Diceros bicornis minor: one gene and its partner. Each later gene encodes a partner of the first gene's protein in a complex. Links are inferred from orthologs where the notes say so. Each region holds a gene or a part of one and is shown in the gene's direction. Other genes may lie near its edges.

The links.
Region 2: the proteins of ZC3HAV1 (region 1) and KHNYN are in contact, whole or in part, in a crystal structure (PDB 9BGL), measured with the Homo sapiens proteins. The link is inferred for Diceros bicornis minor from reciprocal best matches to the Homo sapiens genes ZC3HAV1 and KHNYN. Residues at the interface, in NP_064504.2 of Homo sapiens: Glu5, Val6, Cys8, Phe9, Lys12, Ile13, Ala16, His17, Glu29, Ile30, Ala31, Leu32, Leu113, Glu115, Phe118, Ser127, Gly128, Leu129, Asn130, Glu133; in NP_001277186.1 of Homo sapiens: His651, Lys652, Asp654, Phe655, Gln658, Arg659, Pro661, Tyr662, Asn677, Phe678.

The regions. Positions count from the first base shown.
Region 1 is NC_080742.1:86,914,829-86,925,170, reverse strand, and holds the start of ZC3HAV1 (zinc finger CCCH-type antiviral protein 1), read left to right. Parts: upstream 1-5,165; 5' UTR 5,166-5,227; coding exon 5,228-5,535; intron 5,536-10,342.
Region 2 is NC_080744.1:23,580,402-23,590,856, reverse strand, and holds the start of KHNYN (protein KHNYN), read left to right. Parts: upstream 1-5,606; 5' UTR 5,607-5,695; intron 5,696-5,702; exon of another isoform or gene 5,703-5,831; intron 5,832-6,476; 5' UTR 6,477-6,496; coding exon 6,497-6,697; intron 6,698-7,512; coding exon 7,513-8,612; intron 8,613-8,755; coding exon 8,756-8,886; intron 8,887-8,972; coding exon 8,973-9,069; intron 9,070-10,455. Other genes in the region: CBLN3 (cerebellin-3), read right to left, coding at 3,396-3,593, 3,957-4,076, 4,407-4,787.

The DNA.
Region 1 (10,342 bases):
GAATTAGGCTTCACAGGATGGCTCGGAGGAATCACATTCATCAAGGCTGTCAGGAACACACTGGTGAGAGGGACACCAACGTCACTAAGAAGTTCAGTGGTGCTTCCCCTGCAGGACATAACTGATGGAAGGAGGGGCTGTCCTGGAACCTGGCTCAGTAATAGCAATGGGGATGATAGGCCCTGATGCAATAGACACCATGTGATGGCCCTTTCCTGCAGAAGCCAGGGCTTGTAATGACTAAGTCAGAGTGGCAGCCAGGGGGCCTGACCTGTAAAGAGCTGTAGGGATTGTGAATAGAACAGAGTTTCCCTAGGAGGAAAATAGATGGGTAGCACACAAAATACTGTTTAACATGTGTAATCTAAAAAGAACAAGAATTAATAAACAGGACAATGAGGAGGATGGTCACCCCAATAAAAAGTCACAATTCCTGGCCCGCTTTCTGTACCTGAACCAGTGTTCGGACTCAGAACCCAGTGACTGAAGAGGTGGCCAGGTCCTCAGGGAGAAGGACCTGCAACATGATGGCAAGAATGAGCTAGAATTGTTCCTCCAATCCTTCCCCAGGGAGATCTACAACATTTACGTGGATGACAGAAGAGAGTACCCAGACATTTTGATGACTGTTGGGCACAAGGTCAGAGGTCACCAATACTCTGCCACCTGAAGCATCTTCGTGGCTCCCATGTTAGAGTGGGAGCAAATGGAGGCCTGATTGAGGTTGAGCTTACAATGGGTCCCCTGGGTCCATGAACCCACTGGTTGTCATTCCTCTAACCCCAAAATGTATAGTTGGCATTGACATACTTGGAAATCAGGCTAACCCTCCATTGCATCCTTGTGATCCTTCCCTACTGTGATAGCTCTCACTTGTTAATGTAGCCAGCCTTTGTCACAGACCCCTTTCCCCTCATTGCTGCATGATGGGTAACTGAACAAAGAGGCTATGGTGACAGAGATGGAGGCAATGCATGGACTATCATTTACCAAAACGAATATAGGTACTACCACCTCTGAATGTCCAATCTACCAGCCATAATGACCGATGCTAAGCTCTATTCCTTAAGGAGACCAATAGGCTACTTGGTGACCAGGTGACTACACTGGGCTCCTTTTGTCCTGGAAGGGCCAGCAGTTTGCTCTCACTGGAATAGACAGATTCCAGGTATGGGGTTGCCTTTCCTGCCTGCAGGACCTCCATAGCACCAATCTCTAGGGACTTAAAGATCGCCTGATCCACAGACATGGAATCCCACATAACATAGCATCCTAACAGAGGACTCTCTTCGTGGCACAGGAAATGGGGGAGTGGGCCCATGAACATGGGATCCGCTGGTCATATCACACACCTCACGACCCAGAAGCTACTGGATAGACAAATATTGGAATGGCCAGTTAAAGATGCAGCTCAAGATCCAGCATGAAGGCAATACACTGCAGTGATGACATCTCCTCCAGGACATCAAGGGATATGACTTCAATCAGACAACTTAGTGTCTGATTATGGTGCTGTGTCCCCAACAGAAAGAGTACGTGAGTCTTGAAACAATGGGCGGAAGCATGAGTGGCCCCCTTAGCATCATTCCAATGACCCACTGGGCTTCCCTGTCCCCACAACTCTGGGCTTTGCAGAGTTAGAGGTCTTGGTCTCCAAAAGGAGCACATTTTTGCCTGGGGACACAGCAAAGATCCCACTGGACTACAACTTATGGCTGCCACCAGGCACTTTGGCTTCCTAATGGTCAGAGACTAGCAGGTAAGGCAAGGGAACGCCGTATTATCAGAGGTAACTGACTTGGTCAGCAGGAGGAGATAGGGCCGCTGTTAGACAGGGACTGGGGAGGAATATGTACGGACTCTGGTGACCTATTTGGGTGCCAGTTGGTACTCTTTTGCCCAACTGTGACTGTGAATAGACATAAGAGCAGAAAGCCTGGTCTGAGATGATGCTCAGACCCCTTAGGAATGAGGATTTAGGGTGCCCACTCAGGTAAGCTACTGAGACCAGGTGAGGTGGTAGCCGAGGGTGAGGGGAATTAGAATGGATAGTGGTGGACAGATATGATGAGGACCAGCTGTGATCTTGCAACCAATTGCAGTGACAGGGGCTATAGTTCATCCTATTAACTTCTCTAAGTTTTCTTTCAGGAAGAGCAGGGCCCATCAGAGCCCTGAAGGAGCTGTTCCCTGAATACTGATGGGGAAATAGATCCATGTGGCACAAAGGGTGCACGATAGCAGACATAATGGGTTACTCAGATCCTCCTTCAAGCCAGGGCTTGCTGCCCAGCTGCAAGGAGTATGTTTAGCTGATAGTCTCCAGCTTTAGCTCCTTCAGGATCCGTCCCAGTGTTTCAGCTGAAGTCACACATTTCTTCATGGCCCCCGCCAATGACGAAGCAAGGCAGGGTACAAGGGCCTAGGCCTTTCTGCCCAAGGCTAGACTTGCTCCCTGTCGGGCTGGCAGAGACTGTCAGGTCTACATCGCCGCCTGACAGCTCCCACAGATCAATCCTGCTTCTTTCCTTGACTTTCTCTGGTGTTACATCCCCGGAAATCTTCTGTATCCTTAACTCCATATCAGTATCTGCTTCCTGGAGAACCCAACCTGTGACGATACAAATTTTAAAATTTCCCAAAATGTCTGCTTTTTCCCTTCCCACAACCCCTTGCATCGTTTTTCATGGCCTCGAATTGAGGGGATTTTATATCTCTATTCCTAACCACTCTAACCAAACCGTACTCCTTTTCCAATCTCCTATATACCCATTGCAGCATTTAACCCCTGATTTCCTTATGTTTTAATGTTTTTTCATGTCTTCCCAAACACAAGCTCCTTGAGTACAGGGACTATTTCTTAAATTTCGACATGTTCAGCGTAACTACCATAAAGGCCACGCAGAAGATACTATGCTGAATTTAATCGATTAGACAACAAAAGCTCAGTCCCTGGGAACCTGTCAGACCACAAATAAGGCCAAGTGAATTGAAAGGTAACTATAGGGGCCAGCCCCCTGGCTTAGCCATTAAGTGCCCCAGCGCCGCTGCTGGCGGCGCTGGGTTCAGATCCCTGCGCACACCTACACACCGCTTCTCCGGCCATTCTGAGGCCAAGTCCCACATACGGCAACTAGAAGGATGTGCAACTATGACATACAACTATCTACTGGGGCTTTGGGGGGAGAAAAAGGAGGAGGATTGGCAATAGATGTTACCTCAGAGCTCGTCTTCCTCAGCAAAAAGAGGAGGATTGGCATGGATGTTAGCTCAGGGCTGATCTTCCTCACCAAAAAAAAAAAAAAAAGGCAACTGTAGAAGAAATTGCTAGAGGGAACAAGAAGTCAGATGATCCTGTGCAGGCCCCACGTTTGGCTGGTGTTCATTACTAAAGTACTCTATTCCCGAGCCAACAGTTCATCTACCTCGAATTACCAAACAGGAGAATTCCCATTAGTCATTTTGAAGAATTTCTAGTTTGACAACCAAATTCTATCATTTTTAAAAAAGGTTTATCTCTGGGCCAGCCCTGTGGCTTGGTGGTTAAGTGCGCGCGCTGCGATGCTGGTGGCCCCGGTTCGGATCCCGGTTGCGCATCGAGGCACCACTTCTCTGTCCATCCTGGGGCTGAGTCCCACATACAGCAACTAGAAGGATGTGCAGCTGTGACATACAACTATCTACTGGGGCTTTGGGGGGAAAAAATGAAATAAATAAAATCTTTAAAAAAAAAAAAAAAGGTTTATTTCTTATCTGATCAGTGACGCACTTCTTTTACCTGGGAGTGTTGGGAGGAAAAACACTCTTCCAACTTCCAACTTTTTCCTCTTCCAATTTGGGTCCAGTGATTGGAGGCCTGCAAATTAACTGACAATAGACAGATTAACAGGAGAAAAGACAAGATTTGTTCACACATTGGGAGGGGGGAGGTTCCAGTAATGGAAAACTCCTGAAATAGCCCCAAGTAACTTTATATATCTCAATTTAACAAAAGGGGTAGTGGGGTTTAGGACTTCAATGGGAGAGTATGGAAGGTTCTATTGGGCTTTTTGATGCTAATAGAAATGGGCAGTCTGTCTCCAAGGCAGCTGAATGAACAGGAAACTCTCTTGGAAAAGGGTTAATGGTAGCTGTATTTTCTGGAGGCTCTGCTTTAGCAGATTAAGAGAAGTTCAGATAAAATTTCTTTCTGCATCATCTGTAGCTCAAATGTTTTCACTTTAAAATAATCTTTATACCAACTCTTGGGGCCTACGTGGGTCCCCGCAGGGGGAAAAGGTCTTGTCCAAATACCTAAAGAGAACCTATCTAAAATCTTGGGATGTGTCTAAGCCTGCTCGTCTGTGAGTACTTGCCACCAGGGACTAAGCGGTGTCCGGGACACCGCTGTTAGTGATAGACACAGGCAAGAATGTGTCAAGACGGGGTTCTTCAGAAAGCTTGTGAGAAGGCAAAAAGGAAGGAGAGTAATAATCGCTGTTCTTTAGGAGGGCATGGGAGAAAGTGTACGTTGGTCCTGGCCAAACGGACCACGATCTGGGGTCTGGGGGCCAGATTTGGGGAACCTCGGGTAGCATCCGGGCTCCAGCTCGATGGCTGTGCGTGTTTACTCGTTACTTCCTCAAGTACAGAGTGAGGATAATATCTAACTCGTGGAGTTGTTGTGAAGATTCACCAATACCGCCCAGCACGGAGCAAGTGCGCACTCAGGTCTATTCGTTCAGGGGATGTGTGGGGTGGAGAAAGAGGGCTCCTCAAGGGGGTTCCCAAGACTCGCGTCATTCGCCACTTTCAGCTGGTTTATAAAAACTCTGCCAGCGCCCAGAGATCATTTTTAGTTTCTCTTCCTTCGAAAGAATCCTCGCGGCGCTGAGCTGGGGCACCTCACCCCCGCGCAGCCTGGAACTGAGAGGGAGCTGTCCGGGTGGTGCGGGCAGATTTGCCCGCGCTTGTTCGCTTTCATTCCATTCGGTTGCCGTCGCGATAGATTTTAAATCTGACACAGGGACCGGGTCGGTGCGATCTGGCCTCTTGACCCAGAGCCGAGTGTGAAACCGAAAGCGCTGCGCTCAGCTAACGGCGATGGAGAGTGCGCGCTGGCTCGCCCCGGGCGCGCCCAGCCGGAGCACCGCCCGCGCCCGCCCCCGCCCCCGCCCCCGGGGACTCTTGTAAGTTTCGATTCTCCCCGGAGCAGCCCCGCGGCGCAGCCAGCCCAGCGTAGAGCGCCATGGCGGACCCGGAGGTGTGCTGCTTCATCACCAAAATCTTGTGCGCCCACGGGGGCCGCATGTCCCTGGACGCGCTACTCAACGAGATCGCGCTCCGCGAGGCGCAGCTCTGCGAGGTGCTGGAGGCGGCCGGGCCCGATCGCTTCGTGGTGTTGGAGACCGGCGGCAAGGCCGGGGTCACCCGGTCAGTGGTGGCTACCACTCGAGCCCGGGTCTGCCGTCGCAAGTTCTGCCAGAGACCCTGTGAAAACCTGCACCTCTGCAAGCTCAACCTGCTGGACCGGTGCCACTATTCGCAGTCGGATCGGTAAGTGCGCTGAGACGGAGGGGCGGCTTCCCGGGGTCCCGGTCTGGGAGGACTGCCGCGACTGCTGCTCCTCGAGGGGCGCGCCCTCGCGGGGACCTCGCGCCCGACAGCCTCTTCCTCCAGCTCCTCACTTCTCTGCTCCCCTTGGAGAGCCCCTGCTAGGCCCGCGCTTCTACTCTTGGCAGTTCCCTTTCCTCCAATGCTTCTAGACCTTTCCTCGAATATGGCTAACGCGATATTGCCCGGGTGAAGACTACGCTTAACTCCCACCCCCATGAGAATAAAGTACTTTTGGGCAAGTCAGGGCCTAGAGAATTTGGAGGCAGGTTTGGGAACAAAGGAATATGCCTCTACTCTCTGGAGTCTTGAGTCTTTCCCTCTCTGTTAGCTTCGTCCCTAGGCGTGTTGCGGTCCTCCCAGCACCCCAGCCGCGTTCGGCACCCGGATCCGTCTCCACCGCACTGAGCCGGGGATCTCTGCTTGGCCCTCCATTCCTCTCGTTATCACTTTTCTGATATCTGAAGCTAGTCCGCAGCCCCTGACCAGGAGAGTCCTCTTCAAAGTTGCCAATGATGGATGGTTCTCACCCAGCGCTCCTTTCCCGTGGTGTCACTGCGGTGGCCCGAACCGTTGACGGGCTCTTGGGACCACTTGGAAACAGTGCAGCTTACCTCTCAGGCAGCTGCTTCTGTTGCCACTTGTTCTTTTTTGCCAGATAAATATAGGTGTATCCCAAGGTTTGAGTTAAGCCTTTTGACCTGTCTTCCAAGTCTCTCCCTAAGAGAGCTCACTCCCTTGGGTTCAGCTGTCACATATACAAAGACGGCTTCCATATGTACATCCGCTGCCCACATCTTCCTACTGACTCTAGGTTCTTCATCTCCCAGGGTCTAAGGAGCATCTGTACCTGAATATCCTGACAACACGAAGCAAATTCATCTTGTTTCCCCCAGGGCAGGCTCTCTGACAGTCCCCTCAACCCCTTCTTCATCCTTCACAAACTTGAAGTGGTGTCCTAGTGTCCAAAATGGTGGTCATCAAACTTTTGATCCTGCACTTGTTAGCAAAAAACTTTACTTACCCCCAATATATGTGTAATAAAACATACAAAAGACAGGTAATTTAAATGGATGAGGTAGGTGAGATTAATATTTTTTTTAAATGTATTTGTTTAGGGCAAAACTGTAAAATTTTTAAAAAGTGCTTGAGTATGCTCCGTTATTTAAAAAAATATTTGTTGAATATGTTGTGAGGCACCAATCTGAAAGTCTGTTTCTGAGTTTCGGATTATGTGTGTAGAGGGAGTCATCTAAGTCACAACAACAGATGAAATCAGGAAGGAGGAAAGGAGGGGAGGGTGGAGGATACAAAGAAAAGGAAGGAACATTCTAGCTCACTATACTGAATAGCAACAGAAGTGGAAGGCTTTGTTATCTCTTTTTCTGTTCTGTTATGAAAAATTATTCACCAACTAGTGTTGACTTTTAGTTTTAAATACATATGCTTCCTATGTTTTAATTTTTTACTATGGATATATTCAAAATATACTAAAGTAGAGAAATAGAATGATGAACCTTCATGTACCCATCATTTCACTTCATCGGTTTCCAAAAACCGTGGCCAATCTTGTTTCATTTATTGGCCCCTTCCCATCCCTGTCCCCAACTCCAAAGTGTTATTTTAAACCAAATTCCAGAGATCATTTGCTTTGTAAATGCTTAAGTATCTCTAGAGGATAAGAACTCTATTTTATTAACATAACAGCAGTACGATGATCACATTTTTTTACAATTACAATTTTAATATCATCTAGTATCCAGTTGGTGTTCAAATTTCCCTGATTGTTTTATAATCTGACTTGTGGTTTTTCAGGAAAAATCCTACACAGGCATAATCTATAATTGTTTCGATATGTTACATATCCAATATACTTAGAAACTTTGTTTCAATCTCTTACACACAATATGTTTAGAAACCTAAGTTTTTTGTTTTATGAATTTTATTATGGTATTTTTTTTTTGCCTGATTTGAAACATCAAAACCATTGAAACTCATAAATTGGGTTGTTAACCTCCACTTTTCTATATTTTAAGAGTGTGTATAATATAGGGATAATTTGGTATGTGCAAGTTTGGATGGATCCTCTGGGGAATTCATTAAAGTCTTATTTTTAAATTTTTTTTAGTGAAGTGATAAATTCTTATTTCTTACATTTACTAATCTAGTCACATTTTTAATTTCCTTTTACATCACTTTTGAATTTGAGAATTAGAAATTTTTGATCCATTAATGTACATTGTTTCCTCATAATAAAGACTCTTGGGAGATTTTTTTTTTTTTTGCCTGAAAGCCTAGAAAATGGTTTTTTTCCCCAAGTATGTTTTTAAAATAGTCTCCCCTTAGCAACTTATAAAACCTTCTCTTCTAAAACTTGGCGGTGTGGGAATGTAAGGACCTTTTTTGTAGGTTACATGTTAATGGAATCTGTTGACCAATTGATACCCATCTTGAGATTACCGCTCAATTTGATAAACTGTTCTCTGCCTGAGGACAGTTTGCATTTTGCTGGACTTAGAAAATTTCCTCTCTAGTGCTATTATTCATACATAGGATTTCTCCTGTTTATTCTATAGTTCTCTTTTCTCTTACATTACTTTTATTTTTATTTTTTTAAATTAATTAATTAGGGGCTGGTCCCCTGGCATAGTGGTTAAGTGCACGAGCTCTGCTGCTGGCGGCCTGGGTTCCGATTGCCGGCGCACTGCTTGTCAGGCCATGCTGTGGGGTGTCCCATATAAAGTGGAGGAAGATGAGCACAGATGTTAGCCTAGGGCCAGTCTTCCTCAGCAAGAAAGAGGAGGATTGGCATGGAGGATTAATTAATTAATTTTTTTTGTGAGGAACATTGGCCCTGAGCTAACATCTGTGCTGATCTTACCCCATTTGGTATGAGGATACCAAATGGCTTGATGAGCAGTGTGTAGGTCTGCACCCGGGATCCAAACCTTCGAAGCCAGGGACGCTGAAGCAGAGCACGGGAACCTAACCACTATGCCACATGGCTGGCCCCTAACATTGCTTTTAGTTATACATTTTAGTCAACGAAGGGCTTGCTTCAGTTGGATAATTATTTGTTTTGGCACATCACTTTGGATATTTCTATTTGTTTTGCTGAAATATATGCCCACATGTGGAGTTGTAATCCCAGTTCTGACGCAAATAATAACTACCATTTATTGAACTAATAACCATGTACCAAGCACTATGGTAAGCACTTTAGAGATGGTAGCCAAGTTAGTCTTTACTATGATTCTTGAGGTAGGTATTGTAAGTCCTATCTTGATGTAAGGAAACAGGCCTAGAGCTGTTTAGAAATTTACCAACTGTCACATAGCAGATAGTGTTCAGACTTAGTATAGAACGCAAATCTGAATGACTTCTTAACTAGTCCTTGTGTTGTGAAGTAGCTATATGAAGTGTGATCTTTCATTAATTCCAGTTATTTTTTTGCAAGCATGATTTCTAGTTAACCGTTTAAAGCAGGCTTGTCAGAGTGTCTTCAACTAGCTTTGTGGTTTCAGCCCATGTGGGTGTTTCCCCAGGGCTTCCTGTTTGTATGCCTTTCTCTTGCTTCATTGAAACTTTGGGTGGGGGTGGGTAGATGGGAAGAGGATTGGTTGACTATTTCATAAATTGAAAAAAATACCAAAAAATGCAAAGAATAATATAACAAGCATCAGAGTATATATATTCTGAGTATGTAGCAAAAGTTATATAAAGGAATATATAGTATAATAAGCTTATAACTCGCCTCTCAGAATAAATAAATGTTTACATTTTTTCATTTTTGCTCCTTATCTTTTAAAATAAATAAAAACCAGAAAAGGCCTAAGGGTGTTCTTTTTTTCTCTTCCCTAGTCTCCTTCCCCTCTCTCCCTAGAAGCAACCTCAATCATGATTTTGGTGTGGATCCTGTCCTTCCATGATTTTATAATTTCCTTGCACGTATATTTGTATCCATATACAAAATGTAGTATTGTTTTATGTGTTTTAGAATGTTTACTCAATGTTGTGTTTTGGAGATCTATTCATGTCCTAAGGATCTAGTTTATTTGTTTTAACAGCTGTATAGTATTTCATCATCTGATTTATACCACAGTTCAGCACCTATTCCCTCAATAATGGGCATTTGTGGTATTTCCAATGTTTTGCTACAACAAACTGTGCTGCCAAGAATATACATGTCTCTTGGTGCTCATGGCAGGAACTTCTACAGGGTAGATCATTAGGAAAGGGAATTGCTGGGTTGAATGGTTGCACAGCTTCAGCTATTCTAGATTCTGACAAGTTAGTATTAAAGGTGGTTGTTCCAGTTTACACCTTCATGTTTGAGAGTCCCCGTTTTCCCATTTTATGGCCAACTAGCACTTGGTGTTACAAGACTTTTTTGATTTATGCCAATCTGAAGGGTATAAAATGGTATCTTATTATTTTAATTGTAAAAGAATTTTCTCATTAAAGTTTCTATTATGTGATATTTAAGTCTTAAAAAATATATAAAGATACAGTGAATATCTGTGTGCCCACAAATCAGCTTCAGAAATAGAATATCACCCAGTTAACCCCCCTGAATTCTCTTCCTCAATCATCTCCCCCATCATAGAGGGGATAACTAGAGAAAAACACTGTTCTTTTTTTCTCTCCAGCTTAAGTAAGATATGATTGATTAATAAACATTGTATATATCTAAAGTATACAATGTGATATTTTGATAACATGTATACATTGTGAAATGATTCTCTCCATC
Region 2 (10,455 bases), on another chromosome or scaffold:
AGCCCACACCTTTTCCATGCATTTATTGTATTGTAACTGGATGCCTTTTCTTTTTTTTTTTATTTAAAGATTTTATTTATTTATTTTTTTCCCCCCAAAGCCCCAGTAGATAGTTGTATGTCATAGCTGCACATCCTTCTAGTTGCTGTATGTGGGACGTGGCCTCAGCATGGCGGGAGAAGCGGTGCGTCGGTGCGCGCCCGGGATCCTAACCCGGGCCGCCATCAGTGGAGCACGTGCACTTAACCGCTAAGCCACGGGCCGGCCCAGGATGCCTTTTTTTTAAATGATGTCATCTTTAAGGGTGGGACTATGATGTCCCAAAGATGTCCATGACCAAATCCCCGGAAGCTCTGAGTATGTTTCATGGCAAAAGGGCCTTTTTCAAATGTAATTAAGGTTATTAAAATAGGGAGACCATCCTTGATTATCTGGGTGGCCCAATCTAATCACATGAGCCCTTAAAATCAGAGAACCCTCCAGTGAGGTCAGAGACATGTGGCAGAAGGGTAGGTCTGAAAGATTCAAAGTGTCAGAAGGACCTGGCTTAGAGAAAGAGGAGAACGAAGACCTTAGTCCTACAACCATAAGGAACCGAATTCTGAGTGAGCTTGGAAGTGGATCCTTCCACTTCAGTAAGGAAGGCAGCCCTGCCTACATCTTGCCTTTGACCTTGTGAAACCCCAAGCAGAGAATCCAGTCACACTCTGCTGGACTTCTGACTTACAGAAACTGAGAGAATAAACAACTGTTGTGTTAAGCCACTAAGTTTGTGTAATTTGTTACACGGCAATAGAAAACCAATACAATAACTTTACTGATATTATTTACAAATTTATCTAGCTTATTTGCATTTTAAAAAGCTTCTAGTTGTTTTCCCCAATATCCAATCTCCTCTTCTTCCTTATTACAAAACTGCTGACTTTTGGCTGGGCATGGCTGCCTGGAATAAAGACTCTATTTCCTAGCCTGTCTCCTGCCAGGCATGACTAAATTCTAGCCAACTAAATGCAATCAGAAACGTCAGGTGCACCTTTCAGAAAGCGTCTTTAAAGGAGTGTGCCTTTTCTTCCTTCCTCCTTCCTGGGGGCTATAAGGCTGATGTTATGGCCGGAGCTCAAGGAGCCATCTTGCGCCAGGAGGTGACATGCTAAATGATGGGCTGTGTTGATCATAAAACTGCCATCCATCCCTGGACTCTATTTGCAGATTTTTCTATGTGAGGCAGAAATAATCTTCTGTCTTGTTTAAGCCATTATTATTTTGGGTTTCACTGTTACTGTAATCTCATTATAATTAGTAGGGTAATATAGAGGCTCCCTTTCCCAAGAGATGAAGGATCAAGTTTGAACAGTGAGCAGTTATCTTTTGGATGTTTGACCAATTCCTCATCTTGTAACAAACACACTGTTGGACTTTTTTTCTTCCTAGTTGTAATACATGACCAGATGGTGCCAATCAGTCTCTTTCACTCCTGGTACAGTTCCAACTTTCTCTGGAATTACTCACAGCTTACTGTATCCACCCCTCCCTACTTACATAGATAAAAATAAATGTACCTTATGAATAGATAAAATACTATATACTCTTCTACTTATCACAATTAACTAAAAATATCCTATTATATTCATTCTTCTTCACACAGTGTATTGGTTACCTTTTGCACATTTTATAGTAACTTTTTGCTTCTTGAATATTACTACAGAGTCATGGATTTTAAAAATTCACCTTGTTCCAATTAGCAGTATTATTTTCCTTTTGATTATCAAATTGTCACAGAATGTCAACAGAGAGCCTTTTAAAATTGTTTTTTTTTTTTGCCTTTTCAGTTCTACTCTATACATTGACAAAAGTATCCTTCTTTTTGGTCATCAATATGTTCCAGGCCTAGAGTTATTTAAGACACAGAGCTATTCTCCAAGGAACTCTGAGTCCCTTTAAAGGTGAATAATATTTGAGGCAAAGATCCAGGTGCTAAGAATGCATATCAGATTTTTCCTGATGTTGTTTCTAAGTTTGAAAAAGTTGTTTCTTTTGAAAACCACAAATTCACATTGGTATTTCCTATTTAACTCAAGCATTACCAAATCCTTTTTTTATTTGACTCTAATATACAGTTTTAGATTTATTTTCTCTACAACATACCTGCTTATATTCTATAACTCCTGATCCAAATTGTAACAGCATCTTCTCTCTTTAAAGATCCTAGAGTGTCTCATCGACCATCCTTCTCTAATTACTTTATTGATGGATTCATCCATGCTGGGCCAATGGGACAGCGAGATAAGACAGAGAATTTATAATACTGGAAGGAGAGTAGGTGAAGGGATGAATCGTGGAATCCAAGGTAATGAGACTTTTAAGAAGGAGGATAAGACAGCACAAATCAGGAGAAAGAAGAGAGGTTATGGGATAGTCTGGAAAAGGTACAATAAAGGTAACCGAGAGAGCTGGGAGGAAGGAGGTGGCAGTCAGAGCGTGGAGTGATGGAAGTTGAGACTACAGAGGTGGAGCAGTTCTAGGAGGTGGCCATGGTCATTGATATGTTTCAAGCCTGGATATCTACACTTGCCCACATATGACCTTCTACCCCCACCTCCAGCTGCCCAAGGAAGCTCTGCACACCTGACGTGACCCAGGAGGCAGCCACCAGCTCTGTGGCAGAGCAAACATACACACTCCATGTCTCAGGTGGGGAGGTGAGGGCCACAGTCCATCTGGGACCTGGCACAGATGGACGCCTGGGTTTGCTGCTTGCTGGCTGCCCTAATGTACATAAAATATGAGTACCATGTGCAGGCTGGGCGCATGCCGCCTTGCTGCCCTACCAGCCACAGGCACCGGGCTGCTCCATGGCCCTCCCCACACTTCTGCTGGTGGCTGAGCCTCCCGCCCTAGACCATGAGGCGCTGGCTCAGCTTCTGACTGTGCTGACTGAGATCTGTGATGCTGGCACTCCTCACAGGAAGGAGCCTGCAGGGTACTCTCAGGCTGGTCCATCTGGGCCCCTGTGGGGGCCTGTCAGGCTCACCTGTGCCACCTGTCCCTAAATAGCACTGAGCAGGAAGCTGGGGGCAGGGGGGCGGGACAGGAGCAGAGTCTGCAAAGTAGCACAGGCCTCCCTACCTGTCAAGTGCTGTCCTGACTAGGGCTGCAGGCACAGAGATGCAGTGGGAGGCTGGGAGGGCAATGGGGAGGGGAAGAGGGGCCAGGTCCTGAGACACCACAGCTCTGCTCTTCACCTTGGGTGTTCGGCACAGGGTCCCATGCAAGGAAGTGGAACACAGACAGCCAGAGGCAGCCTCTCTCCTGCCCCAAAGATGCTGCTTCTGGGTAGAAGAGGGCAGAGGGCAGAGGGCAGGGGCTAGATTCCCATCCTTGAAAGGCTTGAGCCCTCAGAGTGGGAAAATGAGGAAGCCAGAAAAACTTGAATATTTCCAGCCACCCAGCAGGTTCCCCCGACGCAGGCGCAGGGACACCCGGTCCCCGGGGTCCAGGGGCAGTAGCACAGAGCTGGTGGCTGCCTCTCGGGTCACGTCAGGGTCGTTGGCAAAGGCTGAGATGACAGGCCATGTGTTCAGCATCAGGCTCACCTGGGGAGGGGAGCCTAGTTAGCACCTCTCCCCAGCCCTTCTCCTAGGACTGCCACTTTCCCCAGGGCTCCCTCTCTTCTCTCCAGCCCCAGAGGGACACTCTGGAACCTGGGAACCTGGGGTTCAGTGCACTCCTCTGGAAGGGCTGAGGGGTGGCCAGTGTTGGACTCTGCCCCTCCTCCACACCCTCTGCTAGGCAGGCCCTTTCCTCCCACACAGGAGTCCCTTGCTCCTGGCCCCCCAGGACACAGGTCAATAGAGGGTATGCCCAGGGGTCAGCTGGGCTCCACTTATTCCCCCTCCCTCCCCTCTCTTCCCTTCCCAAGCCAGGGAGCCAGGGATGGGGCCCAGCACGCAGGTCACCTGGACGGTTTGGCGGTTGTACACCTTCACCACATGGAACCGGAAGCTGTAGACGCCTCGGACAGGGGCCACGAAGGAGCCTGAGGCCCGGTCAAAGCCACCGCCCTCGTTTACTAGGACCTGCAGGAAGCAGACCCTGCTGAGTGGGGCTCGTGGGGGCTCGAGGATGCCTGGGGCTCAGGGAAACCACTGGGTTGGGGGAAGGGGCAGCGAGTAAGAAAAGAAGGGGTGGCAAGTAGACTCGAACAGGAGGGATGCACGGATTCAAAAGGAGGAATGCACGGATTCAAAAGAAACGGTGAGAAAGAGCAAGGAGGGGTGTGGGCAGGATGTAGGGAAAGGAGGCAAGCAGTGGGGTTGAGAGGCAACTGGCCACAGTGGGGGGCTGTTTCCATAACAGCAAAGTGGGCTTGAACAGTTGGGTCCAGGTCCTTGCAGGTAGGGGATTACCTGGTCGAAGTAGATGGCCCCACTGGTGCCATTGCTGATCTCGCCTGCTGGCTCATGGTGGTGGCTTCGGACTGCAGCAAATGCCACTCTTCCGGGGGGCGCCTCTCCCAGGGCTGCTCCCCCAGCCCCCCCTGCGGCAGCTCTGCTGGGTTCACAGACCACCAGGCACTCGCCCTCCAAGAGGACAGGCTCTGCCCCCTCCTGGGCCCACCCAGCTCCCAAGGCCAGAAGCACTAGGGCCAAGGGCAGCCCGGGGCTGAAGGAGGGACCTGGCGGCCAGTGCTGCTTTGCTCCCAGCATGGCTGAGTGGCTCTGTGACCTGCAAGTCCTCCTCTTTCTGCTCCTTTCGGTTTGCCCTCCTCTTCCCCAGACTCTCACCATCCCTCACCCCGCTCCTCAGCCCTCTCTGGGACTCAGTGTCACCTGGTCCTGTGGCATCTCCCTCTCCATACCTCTCTGTGCCCCACAACTCTGTCCTGCCTCTCACTCCTGCTGTCACTGTAGTTCCCTCCTCCTTGGCAGGGCACAAAATGACAGCAGTTGGGCTCTGGGAGGGAGAGAAGGGATGAAGCAGCCAGAGAGGAGGGCTACAGCCAGAACCCAGGGCAGCCCCTCCAGAGAGCACTGAAGGCGGGAACTGGGACGACAGAGAACATGGGTGTGCGTGTGAGAGTGTGAGAATGCGTGACTGCGTGTATGTGAGTGTGTGAGCGTGTCCATATGCGCGAGAAACAGCTCCCACGGCCCCTTCCTCCTCCTCATCTCCTCTCTTTGAAATCCCTCACAAGTCAACTGCCCTCTCAGCGGCGTGTTTTCCACTGACGGAAGCAAGGGGGAGCCCTTGTCTTTTCCCCACAATTGTTTTGGTGGAAAGTGTTTGCGCCAACAGTGTCACTATCTTGTGACCCTGGGCCAGTCTCTTTCTCTCCATGGTTTTCCATATCTTCATCCGAAAGGACTGGGTTAGTTCCTTTAAGATCCTCTTCACCTCCAACTCTCAGCGAGCGGTTCCTCTTTCCTGAGAAACCACTGCGCAGAACGAGCGAGCGAGAACTCACCGAAGCGGAGAGAGCAGGTGGGGCAGGCAACGGAGAGAGCCCAGGAGAACTCCGGGCGAGCGGGCGGGGCGGGGCCGGGGGCGGGGCCATATCCGGGGGCGGGGTCGAGGCCGGGCGGGCGCCGAGGCCCCATGCAGGCCCAGCTGCGGGAGGGGCCCGGCTGACTCCGCCCCGGGCCAGGAAGTGACTCAAAAAACTATTCGAGATGCAGAGAAGAGAGGTCCCCGTTGGGTGAGGAATCCGGGAAGGCCCGCCCGAGATTCGGGCCCCCTCCCTTCTCCCCTGGGCCGGGGGCGCGGGCGAAGCTGGGGCAGGCGGGCACCGAGAGGCGCCGGAGGGACTGAGGCGGCACGGGCGGCCGAGGCGGGTAGGCGCCCCGTCCCCTGCGCCCGGGCCGCGGGGACCGGAGGCCGCGGCGCAGAGCGGTCCGGGGGCGGCGGCCGCAGGCAGCTGTGGGCGGGGCCCGCCCGGCCCCTGGGTCCCCAGTGGGGCGCTTGGCGCTATCTAGGGGGCCAGAGGACGGCGGAGGGAGGGGGAGGGGTGGGAGTGGCTAGAACCTTGGAAATGGCAGACTGGGGACCCCGGAGGATAGCCCAGTTCAAGCCCTTGTGCGGATTCATCTTTAAGAGGTCGTCTTGGGCCCGGAGGTTGCAGAGTCCCCCGAGGAGAGGGACTCTTTCGTCACCTGTCCACTCCTTCTGGCCTCCAGACCAAGCTGGAGCCCCCCACCCTTCCAGCTCAGGGCTGTGGTCATAATTTTTAAAGACCAGGCACCCATCCCAGATAGACAGCCTTATTTATCCATGACTTCCTCTCCGGAGAGAAGGCCGGTGTGGCTGGATAACCTGACACTCCCCTCCTACCTCCAAGATGGACTGATATGCTTGTTACCTCTTGAGTTGTTTACCGGATCAGTAACTAGGTGCGACCTGTTGATAGCTGGTGTAGGCCGCGAGACCAAGATTTGGGTTGAGGGGACGGCAGAGCTCTGAGCTGCCTTCCCTTCTTTCAGGGCCGGGCGGCCAGGCAGCCATGCCTACCTGGGGGGCTGGCTCGACGTCCCCTGACCGCTTTGCGGTGTGTGCGGAGGCCGAGGACAAGGTGCGGGAGCAGCAACCCCATGTGGAGCGCATCTTCAGCGTGGGGATGAGCGTCCTTCCGAAGGACTGTCCTGAGAACCCTCACATCTGGCTGCAGCTGGAGGGCCCCAAGGAGAACGCCAGCAGAGCTAAGGTGAACGCCCCTCCCTGACCCTTCCGGGGAACAATGACTTCCTCCCCCGTGGAGGCAGGGGAGAGGAGGGGCTGGGGCGGATCTTCCTCCTTGCTGGTCTCACTGGCAACCTCAGCGGCCTTGAGCTTTGAGGGACTTCCTAACTATGTTTATCTGGAGTTTTGGTTTCATTTGTGCTGTGACGACCCAAGTTCTGCCAGGGCTTGGAGACAAGTGATTCAATTCAAATCACTGGTGCTTTTTGGGAGAGTAGAGATAATCCGGTTGGGCAAGCAGGCCCCACCAAGGAATTCTCTGTGAGGTGGGAGGCTGGGCCACATTGCTTCCTTGGGAGTCAGCTGGGGCTTCTAGTAGGGCTCCACCACCTACCAGCCTTGAGGCCCAAGTCTCAGTTTTCTTATGTATAAAATGTAAATAATAGTATCCACCTCATTGGGCTTATTGTGAATGAGATAAAGCATGTGACGCATGAGTTCAGTAAAAGTTAGCAATGACAATCATTATGATGGAAATATACAACACAATATACACATATAAATATTTAGAGAGACAGCCTTGTAACCAATTAATTATAATATCTCAAATTGAGTCAAGTTCTAAATGGAAATATTAGCCACAGGCTATCAGCTGAAAAGGGAAAGAAGTGAGATTCTGCATCCCTTTTTAATCCCCGTTTTTGTCAGGATCTGTGGGGCTCCGTTGCTCTGCAAAGGCATCTTGGAGCTCAGGGGAGAGCAATGGGCCTGAAGGGGCTACTGGGCCACTTACGATCCCAGCAGTCTCCTTTTTCCTCCCTCCCATTTTTTCCCTCCCAGGAATACCTGAAGGGTCTCTGCAGCCCGGAGCTGCAGGATGAAATCCACTACCCATCCAAACTGCACTGCATCTTCCTGGGAGCCCAGGGCTTCTTCCTGGATTGCCTGGCCTGGAGCACGTCAGCACATCTGGTGCCTGGGTCACCTGGCTCGCTGATGGTCAGTGGCCTGACTGAGGCCTTCGTCATGGCTCAGAGCCGAGTGGAAGAGCTGGTGGAACGGCTGAGCTGGGACTTTCGGCCAGGGCCAGCCCCTGGAGCTGGAGTGCTGAGAGACTTCTCTGCCTTGCTGGAGGCCCGGGGGGATGCCCACAGAGAGGCCCTGCTGCAGCTGCCCCTGGCCGTCCAGGAGGAACTGCTGAGCCTGGTGCAGGAGGCATCCAGGGGGCAGGGGCCCCAAGCACTCCCCTCCTGGAAGTGTGGGAGCCCAGGCCCACTGGGTGCTCAGTACCAGGGAGTCAGAGCTCCCCTGAGTGAAGGCAGCGAGTCCCTGGACACTGGACCTATGGGGCGAGGAGAGTCAAGGGGAGAGAGACAGGCTATGGAGAAGGAGGGAGGGAGGCAGGGTGGTCTCAGGGAGATGGATTTGGGGTGGAAGGAGCTGCCTGGGGAAGAGGCCTGGGAGAGAGAAGCGGCCTTCAGGTTGCAGTCAGAGGGAGGAGAGGCAGGGCAGGTGGGGCCCTTGAAAGGGAAGGCCCTGGGGAAGGAGGAGGTGCCTCAGGAAAGAGGAAGTTTCTGTGTCCCCAGTGAGCCTCTTGGTGCCCAGGGTCCCTGTCAGAGGGTACCTCCACCCCGGGGAGCCTCCCTCCTCCAGCGGCTCCACAATGGGAAAGCCTCACCTCCAAGAGTGCCGAGCCCCCCACCTGCGCCCGAACCCCCGTGGCACTGTGGAGACCGAGGAGACAGGGGAGACAAGCAGCAGGTCGTGGCTCGAGGTCGGGGGTCTCCGTGGAAACGAGGCACCCGGGGGGGCAACCTGGTGACTGGCACGCAGCGTTTCCAGGAGGCCCTACAGGACCCTTTCACCCTGTGCCTTGCCAATGTGCCTGGCCAGCCAGACCTCCGTCATATTGTCATTGACGGCAGCAACGTGGCCATGGTGTGAGTACCCAGTGGGGCTGAGGGTCCTGGGGAGGGGGAGGACATGGGCAGTTCTGGGGACATGTGCTGAGGGGCAGGCAGTCCAGTCAGGCTGCCAGGCCCCTCCTCTGGGGCCCCAAAGTGCTGACCCCTTCTGACCGCAGGCACGGCCTCCAGCACCACTTCTCGAGCCGGGGCATTGCCATTGCTGTTCAGTACTTCTGGGACCGTGGCCACCGTGACATAACCGTCTTTGTGCCTCAGTGGCGCTTCAGTAAGGATTCCAAGGTCAGAGGTGAGTTGGGCCTGGTCTTTTGTGTCCTGGGATAGGCCCTGCTTCCACCTTGAGGGTAACTCTGTTATGCTCCACTGTTTCTCTAGAGGGTCACTACCTGCAGAAGCTGTACTCCCTCAGCCTGCTCTCCCTCACTCCCTCTCGAGTCATGGATGGCAAGAGGATCTCCTCCTATGATGACAGGTACTTGCTTCTCTATTGGCCTCAGGCTTGATGTTCAAGGAGCCCAGTAGAAGACTGAGGGAGAGACAGATGCTCCTGACCCTTTGTGCTGTCTCTAGGCCTGGGTAGTGGGAAAAGAGCCAATTATTCCTCCAAGTGCTTGTAAGACTGGGTAGGTAAACCTGCCTTGCAGGCGAGATGAGACGGATGGTTGTTTGCCCATTCATCATTCGGTTTTCACTCATCAAACTAAATGATGCCTTGTGTTTATCTAGTGCCATAGTGTCTAGAAAATACTGGCTTAATGGAAAGATGGGAAAGCTAATGACATGAGTAGCTGACAGATGCCTTCTTACAACCTAAACTCGAAACATGTAGAGAAATTCCCCAACCTTCTGGAAAAACCAGAGTAAATGTTCCAAATAGCAAGACAAGTGAAGAGTCATAATCCATGCATAATAAGTCTGTACACAACATGGTGCAATAGAAAGATCGCTGGACTTAGAATTTGAAGATCTGAATTTGAGCCCAAGTGGCACTCCTCCTTGACTCGGACTGTGGACCAAACGTAGAGGGTTAACCTCTTTGTCTCAGGGTCCTCTTCCATTCATTCACCCTCCTCGAGAATATAAAAGAAGATAAGGTATGTGCTCGCTGCACTCAAGGTGCCAGGCAAGCGTTCAGTGATATTCCCCAACCTGTCTTGGCCCCAGTGTGGCAGAGGCTCTTACTCCTGTGGTACAGAGCTGGAGGCAGAGGGGGAGCATGGTTAACTGGCAAAGGCGCCTCAGGGGCAAAAGAAAAGGAGAACTTACAGCTGCCAGGGGGTTGAAATGAAAACCCAGGGCACAGTCCCTCCCAGTGCACATACACCAGGTGGGAAATGGGCAGGTTTTAAAAGCTAATTCATCAATTAAAAAATTTACAACTACAAGTTCTTTATTCTCTGGGATTTTCCATTTTAAATAAAAACTAGTTTCCAAATTGTAGTGATGATACATTTTGTCTTTTCAAATACTTAACTTTTACTCACTACCACGTAGGGTATTCTACCAAAAGGCAGTTCACTTTCTCCTGAGGCTGTTCTGTTTTATGTCTGGATTTCACAGATTATCCAAGATTTGGAACCTTCTTTCCATACCAGCATTGACACAGAATTGAAACTGAAGATTGAGTCAGTTGTAATGAATTTTAAAGGCGTGTGTCTGTACAGTTGTGTAGGTCCTGGTAGGCAGACAGCACAATATGAATCTGGAATTTTGCCTAGTTAACAGTGAATAGGCACAGTGGTGGCCAGCATAGGCCTACTGACTGAATACTGCTGAACAACGTATGATGTAACATGATAATAGTAAAACCTGCTTCACCTGAAAGATCCTTTTGTATATCATATGTATACCATATACA